Neurospora crassa OR74A: one gene and its partner. The protein of the gene in region 2 interacts with the protein of the main gene of each other region in a pairwise test. Links are inferred from orthologs where the notes say so. Each region holds a gene or a part of one and is shown on either strand. Other genes may lie near its edges.

The links.
Region 1: the proteins of pex12 (region 2) and pex10 interact in binary tests that used the Saccharomyces cerevisiae proteins (3 or more experiments, as listed by UniProt). The link is inferred for Neurospora crassa OR74A from reciprocal best matches to the Saccharomyces cerevisiae genes PEX12 and PEX10.

Annotation. Positions count from the first base shown.
Region 1 is NC_026501.1:5,159,056-5,163,123, forward strand, and holds pex10 (RING-1), read right to left. Parts: upstream 2,468-4,068; 5' UTR 2,195-2,467; coding exon 905-2,194; 3' UTR 571-904; downstream 1-570. Other genes in the region: bem46 family protein, read left to right, coding at 51-216; NCU03278 (protein-ER retention protein), read left to right, coding at 2,882-2,972, 3,051-4,068. UniProt on the Saccharomyces cerevisiae protein: E3 ubiquitin-protein ligase component of a retrotranslocation channel required for peroxisome organization by mediating export of the PEX5 receptor from peroxisomes to the cytosol, thereby promoting PEX5 recycling.
Region 2 is NC_026504.1:5,625,351-5,629,711, forward strand, and holds pex12 (peroxisome assembly protein 12), read right to left. Parts: upstream 2,595-4,361; 5' UTR 2,270-2,594; coding exon 929-2,269; 3' UTR 540-928; downstream 1-539. Other genes in the region: NCU05244 (thioesterase), read left to right, coding at 3,369-3,896, 4,009-4,361. UniProt on the Saccharomyces cerevisiae protein: Component of a retrotranslocation channel required for peroxisome organization by mediating export of the PEX5 receptor from peroxisomes to the cytosol, thereby promoting PEX5 recycling.

The DNA of each region.
Region 1 (4,068 bases), on a different chromosome or scaffold from region 2:
CGGTTGGGTTGCATGAGAGCTGTCCGCTAATTCCATCACCCGCATCTTAGACCCACTCATATGAAGCAGCTTTATCATCTCTCCAACGCTCCGATAAAGATCTGGAAGCCTCTTCCCAACGGCGACCATAACTCGAGTGTCCTCGAAGAAGGCTACTTTGAAGCCATCGCAGAATTCATCCAAAGGGTTTCCTCAGGAGACCCCGAAAAGAAATAGCTCGATTCGACAACGAAATCCGCGCCGTCGCTCTCTCCTCATTCCATACGGTAAATGGGTCTTTCTGTTGAAGGGGAGGCATATGATGTGCCCACGATCTTGATGACGCGAAAGCGTCCACGATTACGAGCTGTTGGGGGACAGCGAAGCACAAGTACGACAACCACGACCTTGGTGGCTTGATGCTTGAAGATGGGTCGGAACTTGAGGCTTTCATTGAGGTGTCATATTTTCTCTTTCGCACCTCGTGTATGTATTTCATGACCCTTTGGACCTATGTCGAGGTTGCTCGGGTCTTGATTAAGACCCAAACGGGACGAGACTCGATATTAATCAAGCAAGAGAAGTTTTTGTAGAGTAAATACCAAATATTAATATCGGACAAGGAATAATTCAATTTCATACTTGAACATATGTGCATTAGCTTGTCAAAAGTTCCTGACCTTTTGAGAATATGTCGGATCATTCAATCATTAGGCTATGTACGAAAACAGGCTCTCTCTCCTGGCAATATGCTTGCTGCATATACAATTATCCCTAAACCGCAGTTGTTGACTGTTCGCTCCTTGTCATGTGCAAATACTACCCAAAATCTGTTCTCGAGAGGACGTTGTAAGACTCCTGCTTTTTGTCATATCTCCCGTATATTAAGTATTTTGTCCCCCCCGACCGCCAGAAAAGGACTGCTCTAAGCAACCCTCAATGGCAGAATATGCTGTACCATCGTCTCACGTCTGCACAACGGACACTCAGGCTTCTCGCGCACCCAGTCTCCAATACACGACCAGCAGAAGACATGTCCGCACTGGGTCGCCGCCGGGTCCTTCAGCTCTTCCAAGCAAAGCGTGCACATCCTCTGCTGTCTCCCCTTGATCCAGCCCATGACCTCCTCATTCGCCGCCAAGTCGTAGTTCGCCCTCCCGCCCTTGGGCACAGGGGTGTGCGTCGTCCGTCCAATCTCCGCCAAACTACGCTGGTTACCCGACTTGCCCGTCTCCACCAGCAACTCGTTATTGCTGCTATAGGCATTCTCATCTAACGACACATCCAGTGTGCCCGCAGCGCCCGGCCCAAAGGCGCGCTCCCGAATGCTCGCCTCGGTACTGGCCTCCTCGGCACTAAGCGGCGAAGTTGACGACAGCTGCGCCGTCACATGCAGGTATCCCCGGACGAGCATCTGCACCACCAGCAGCACGCCGAGCACTTCATAGCCCGCGCGACCGCCTTGACCCTCCTCGATGCGCCGCGTGAACACATAACGCAGCCCGAAGAGGCGCTTGGAGAAAGAGTAGTAAGCACCCGAAAAGTAGAATACGGCCAGCGTCAAGGCGTGCAGGTGCGCGCCGCTGGTGATGGAAGTCAGGTGTGTGAGCAGGTAGCGCTTCACGCGGTACTCAAGCGTTGACACTGTGGAGAAACCACCGCCCTTGTTGTTGGAGGTAGATGGGGTGGCGCCCTTGGTGTCGCCGCGGCCCTGGCGGGCAAGCACGGTGAGACGGTCCTGGAGGCGCTTGCGGAGCGCGGCGCGGATGGAGGGCAGCAGGCGGCTGAAAAGGTAGGGGACAAGAACGCTACTAACGATGTAGCCGGCTCGTCGCTGGAGCGAGGGCAGACGGGGGCCACCGGCTTCGCTGCTGGGCTCGACGGGGCTTTGGGTGTCTGGTATCCTGCCGTTGCCGCCCGTACTCGGCTCTTCGACTTGGACTAGGTCGCAGTACTCCTCGCCTAAGGTGCGGTTGCCGAGGAGGGTGGTGAGGCATAGGTAGAGCAGGTCGGCAGCCGTACGGGTTTCGGTGGCCCAGGAGTGGGCGGAGCGGGCACCGCGAACGCGCCGGTGAAGGTCGGTCAGCTGGTTAGTGAGGACGCCCTGGAAATAGGCATCTTTTTGATGCGCGCGGATAATGTCGGGGGCTGCAGCGAATGGATATGGCGAGCTCGTGAGCGGCGGAGGAGGCTTCTTGGTGGCCGTCAATGACATGGTAATTGATGTCGTCGTTTGGGTCGGGTCGGGTGGGCTCGAAGTCGGGGGGGTCAAAAGCTGTGTTTACACGGTCGACGTATTCAGGGGGAACTCTCGAACCCTAGGAGAGCTCGTATGCCTACAGTCGAATCGTCGAAGCTGTGGCAGTGGATGATTAAGTCTTTTCGATCTGAAATTATCCGAGTTGTTGTTTGATGTTTCGAGATCGACAGGCGGCAGTTGAAGCTGAGATGAAAGTGGTAGTCGGGAACGGATGGACCTCGGTCCTTGGGGTTAATGGGGGCAGCACGCCCGGCGCCGCCCCAGGCGTGGTTCCTCCTCACAAGGAGCGAGCTGAGGAATTGGCAGGGGGGTGCCCAGAACGTCGTAGCCCAGGCTTTAGCGGCAGGGATGATGCAGCGGGTTGTCACAGGACGGGGCCGCGACCAGGGGTTGCACTGACGTCGGGTCTTCTCCCTAAGCCAAAAAGAGTGCACGCGACAGGGGCTTGGCAACTCCGGTGTCTTTGCGACAGCTACCACAATACAGATGAAATTAAAATTTCCATCTTGACACTTGACAAACTCCAAACGCGTTACTGCTGGGAATTTGATCCCAAGCCTATCAACTCTTCTTTGCGTCCAACTGTTACTTCTCCCTCTCCGCATTCCATGACGGACAGCAAATTGACCGCTGCCTGGCGCAATGGACGGTGATCCCGTGGTTGAGCCGGAGCTCGACTCCTTCAGCTTGACCTTTCCCCTTCCCTACCGGGTTGCCTTCATCGTGATCATAGGTATGTATATACAAGTTTCCTACCGTATGTTTGCTCTCTGGATACACGGTTGTAAACTGACTATCTCTGGTTGATTAGCTGTTTGGGGCTGGGGCCTCAACCTTCACTTCCTCCATAATCGCAAGATCGACGTCCCCTCCTTAATCCGGTACCCAGGAAGATCGAGCCCAACCCAGCTCCCTCACCACCACTCGACATACCGTCTTGCGACTCTTCTTTCGCTAAGCTCCGCTGTTTCGATTCTCACATTTTGGTCGTTTACCAGGCGCGATCCAAAACGCGTTATCGACTATGACTGGATTCCCATGACCAACTTGGCAGTGACCGCAGCCCTCTTCGTGCTACCCCTGCGAAGACTGTCTGTTTCGCACTCCGGTCGACGTCGACTACTCGCAACTCTGCGCCGCGTCAGTGTGGGAGGTTTGGCTGAGGCCAAGGATGGAAAGTTTGGGGATATCTTGCTGGCTGATGTTCTCACCAGCTACGCCAAGGTCCTTGGGGACCTGTTCATATGTCTCTGCATGTTCTTCACGCGGAATGGGTCTGCTACTGACCGACCCGATCGCAGCTGCGGCGGCACCTATCTCGTACCACTTCTCCTGACGATACCAAGCGCTATTCGGCTGCGCCAGTGTCTTATCGAATATCTGCGCGTGCGAAATTCCCCTTTCAAGGAGTCCACGGGCTGGGGTGGACAACATCTCGCCAACGCGGCCAAGTACTCGACCGCGTTTCCTGTTATCATTCTAAACGCCATGTTGCGTAACGCAAACACCAGCGGTACCCCAACTACGAGCCTGTACCGTGCATGGATTGTTGCGTGTCTGCTCAACTCACTCTACAGCTTTTACTGGGACGTTGCCAAGGATTGGGATCTCACCCTCTTTGCTGGGGCACAGGAACGCAATTCTCCCGATCATCCGTTTGGTCTGCGGCGCCGCTTGCTGATCCATAAGCCCGTGGTGTACTACTTCGTCATCGCGCTGGATCTGGCACTACGGTGCACATGGATGATCAAGCTGCACCCCCATCTCAATACCATTAGCGACTTCGAGAGTTCGATCTTTTTGATCGAGTTTTGTGAAGTGTTCCGGCG
Region 2 (4,361 bases):
CGCACGAGGACTTCGTTCGGTAGAGGTATATATACACTCTATGCATTTCCATTTCCATTACCCCTTTGTTTTCTCTCTTTTTCTCTCCATAGACAGCTACCTAGTCAAGACAGCGTTCTTCAGGCAGAGAAAGGCAGAATATTCACTGGTGGTCGTATGTATATGGTTATACAATGAGAAGCATCGCAATAATACCTACCTACCTACCTACCGAACTCTATCACATCGCCATCCACTTGCTACAGGGTTTGAAGTAAAATCAACTACACTAGATAGCGCTTCTCATCACGGCAAATAATTGACTAGCTAGTAATCTGAAAGAAATTATCGTCAAGCAAGACGTAGACAGACATACAGGAAGATGGGAAATTCCATTTTCATTGCGAATTTGGTCAACATGGCAGGCAAAGTGGTAGGTGCTACCATATGAGTTAAGGTTTGGCACTTAGAGTCCAACAACAAAGCGGGTTTAGCTCAGTTGGGAGAGCGTCAGACTGAAGTCCACTTCACTCATAAATCTGAAGGTCGTGTGTTCGATCCACACAAACCGCATCTTTCTTTTGCCTTTTTGGATTCGCGAAGTACGTACAGGTAGATTAATCGAGTTACTGAAACGGTGTTGATAGACATTCTGATCCCCCCCCCCCTTTTTTTTTTTTTTTTTCTTGCATGAGCTTCGTGTTGTTCGTACGTGAACCATCCGGTTTGGCAGTACAGAAAAAAAAAGAAGATGGCTGTTGACATTTCATCGACCACGAGGTGATAGAGGAATCTGATTGTCTGACCAGTAAGCATGTCCAGTTTTACATGTTCGTTTGCGGTATGTTGGTTATGCAACTTGCCAGATTATATGCCACCATTAAATAATGTCTAATGTTCGCTTTTCACAACTCATGCCAATCCATCATCCTCAATATCTTCTTTCCGGCTAAACCATGATCCGCCTCAGCCCTTCCGTCCCTCCCAGCACTTTCCTTCCTGTGACGGCACATCTCCCCTCTCCGCTCTCCCACTTGCCCTCGCGCTCTTTCGTCATGAACTTCTCCTGCCTGACATGGGTCCCGCTCATCCACTTGTGTATGCACGAAAAGCAATAGACCACACCCGTCTGACACGCCGCCGGCGTCTGGATCTCGTCCTCGCAAATAGGGCACATATCAGATCTCTTGGGTGGTGGCACCGTGAAAATCGGCAACAGCGTCGAAGCCGCTATAGGCGCCGTCTCGGGCGTTGGTTCCTTGCTGCTAGCCTCCTCCTCTGCCTCATCATCCTCATCCGCCTTCTCCTCCACACCATCCTCCGACGTCCTCGTGATCTTGGGTTTAGGCTTATTCCTCGCTTGCGCCTCCACCAGCCCCGTCACCGTCGGCGGCGGCAGATCCAGGCTTTCCGCCGCCTTGCGACTCAGCTGCTTGGCGAAATCCGAAGCGTACCACCACTCAAGGAACTTGAGCGCAAAAATACTCGTCGGCAGCACCAGCGACAGACCGCCCATCAGCCTTCGACTCATATTCCTCGGACTGAACATCGACCCCCCTGTTAATCTGGAGGTAGCGGCGGCGGCCCCCGCTGCCTTCTCTAGAGCCTCAATCGCCTGATAATCCGCCCCGTTCATCCGCCGCACGCGCGTCCCGATCAGCCACAAAAACGGGTTATGGTACTTTGTGTTGTCAAACAGATACCCCAGGTTAAACGCCAAGATGGCAAAGTAATACGCCGCGTTCAAGCTCGGGTACACTTTACGTAGAAACCAGCGGTAGTAATACAAGAACCGCTCCTTCATCGGGGCCCCCTTTGCCGGCGGCCGCGTGTACTGGCCGCCCAACATGGCGCGCGGCGCATCGATCTCGTAGGCCTCGTCCAGCTTGCGTTTCAGGTAGGGGATCCCGACCATGACGGCCAGGTTCTTCCAGATGTCGACATCGGAGAGCTTGAGGGCGTCGCGGACGAGGTTGGGCGCCGAAGAGGCCGCGCGCGGGATCTCGGCGGCCAGCGCCTTTTCGCGCTTGAGGCCGTAAAAGTGCTCGGTGAAGCTGCCGCCGCGGGTTTTGAGGTAGTGGCGCTCGACGAGCAGCCCCGCGAGGGCGTACAGCTCGTCAAAGGAGTTGAGGATGCGCAGCAGGTGGCGCGGGTAGCGGTGGGTGAGCACGGTGAGGAGGTAGCGGAGGGTGGGCGGGAGGAGGGAGGCGAGTTGTTGTTCCGAGAGAAGCTCGAAGAGGGAGGGCTTGCCGTCGTCGAAGGTGCCGCGGAGGGCGGTGACGAATTCCATGGTTGTTGCGACGGTGCCCGGTTGGGTATTGTTACGGTCTGGTGGTTATCGGGGGCGGGATGGGATGGGATGGGATAGGCTCCCGCCGGTTGTATCGAGAGGGGGTGAGTTCGAGGTTCCTCTTTCGGTATGTTCCAGTGTCGCGCGTAGTGATAGGGGGTCGGTGTGACGTTTTACTAGTATTATATCGCCGTCGTGGTTTCCATCGATGGATTTGTTGATGTCAAGTCAAGTTCACGATATAATTGGGATGAATTGAAAGAAACGGGGCGAGATGGACCTGGACCTCGACCTCCTGGAAGTTCGAACAAGGGGGGGGGGACTCAGACCGGGGCCAAGGAGTGGATGCCGCGACGCATCAAAAGTGGCACTTGGTAGCACTGTGAGTGGACAGCTGAAAGTCGGGCAGCGCAGTGGAGGCCTGTGGGTGCTCCCGTCGCTGTCTAGTGTAGTTGCTTGCTTGCTTTTGCTTGCCGCCGCCGCCATTTGGACCTTGCCAGGTAGCCGAGGCTGTCAGGTCATTCATGTACCCCAAGAAATGGGTTGCAACGGATGCCCGCCAGTTTACCCCATTTGCCCATTCATCCCCAATCATCCCCCCCTGTGCCTGTGATGTGTAGTGTAGACTACTGCTACTATGCTAGGTAGTCACGGCAGGCATGGATACCCCCCTCTCCTCTTTTGCTTTGGTTCGATTCCGTCGAGTTGTCGGGCATCCGTTGTCGGTGTTGTTTCCATCCCGCTCTTTTACACATACCTACTACTACTACCTACTACTTGTACCGCCGGTAACACTACATTGATAAATTACCTACTACTTCCCTGTTTTGACTTATTGCCGGTTCCTGTGTGTGTGTGGTACATCGATACTAACCAACACCGACCAAGGCAACTACCTACCTCCCTCCCGTCTACCTACATACACACTACGAGACTACACTACCTCTACTAACGGCAATCTACAACCGCCCTTCCCTGCCGCGCATCCCATTACGGACGGCACAGTGAAACACCGGACCTGCAAGCCACAATCTTATCATTCTTATTTCCCTTCCCTTCCCGTCTTATCGTCTCGTCTCGTCGCTCACGGAGATAAAAGATGACCATCCGTACTTATCATCGCCCAGTAAAGACATCTGAAGTCGTTGTTGTTTCGTTAGCATCCCAAGAGGAGCAAGAAAATACTATGGCCGGTGGTCAAGAAGGAAGAAAGGGGTCGGCATCACCGCCACCACCACCACCACCACCACCACCAGCAACACCACCAAAGAGCGGTGGTGGTGGTCAACATCAACATCCACATCATCATCTGCACCATCTACACCATCTACACCAACAATATCAGCAATTTCAGCAACCGGCACCACCACCACTACTACCGTATCCACAAAGTCAACATTCACAAAGTCGTCACCCGCAGCAGCAGCAGCAGCAGCCACCAAGAAGTGCAGCACCACCAGCACCAGCACCAGCACCCGCACCCGCACCAGCACCCGCACCAGTACCAGTACAACCACCAAGCACTACCGTCGACCCAAGTCTACTGCCATACACGGGCGAGCAACGAATACTCGAACTACACCGACGAGAACTCGAAAAGGCTTCTAGCGGTGATATCAGCGATCATGTGCGTCACTCTTCACTCTTCACTTACTACAGTACCTTCTTCACTTTTCCCTAATTTCTTCCATAAGAGTTCTCCTTCCTTTTACCACATAACAAACTAACATGACAAGCAGGACTACACAACCCCCCTCCTCCCGCACCTAAAACTCATCTCGGCCGATTCTGGTCTTCCCCACCCCAAGTCCTACTTCCGCTACGTCGTCCAACCCTCCCACTGCAACCGCAACGGCACCCTGCACGGCGGCTGCATCGCCACGCTTTTCGACTACTGCACCAGCATGCCGCTTGCGCTCGTCTCCCGCCCCGGGTTCTGGTACTCCCTGGGCGTCAGTCGGTCTTTGAACACGACGTACTTAAGACCTGTCCCCGTGGGCACCGAAGTGTTTATCGAGTGTGAGGTGGTGGCGCTCGGTAAGCGGATGGCGAGTATTAGTGGCAAGATGAGGAGGGCGGTGGATGGCGCGCT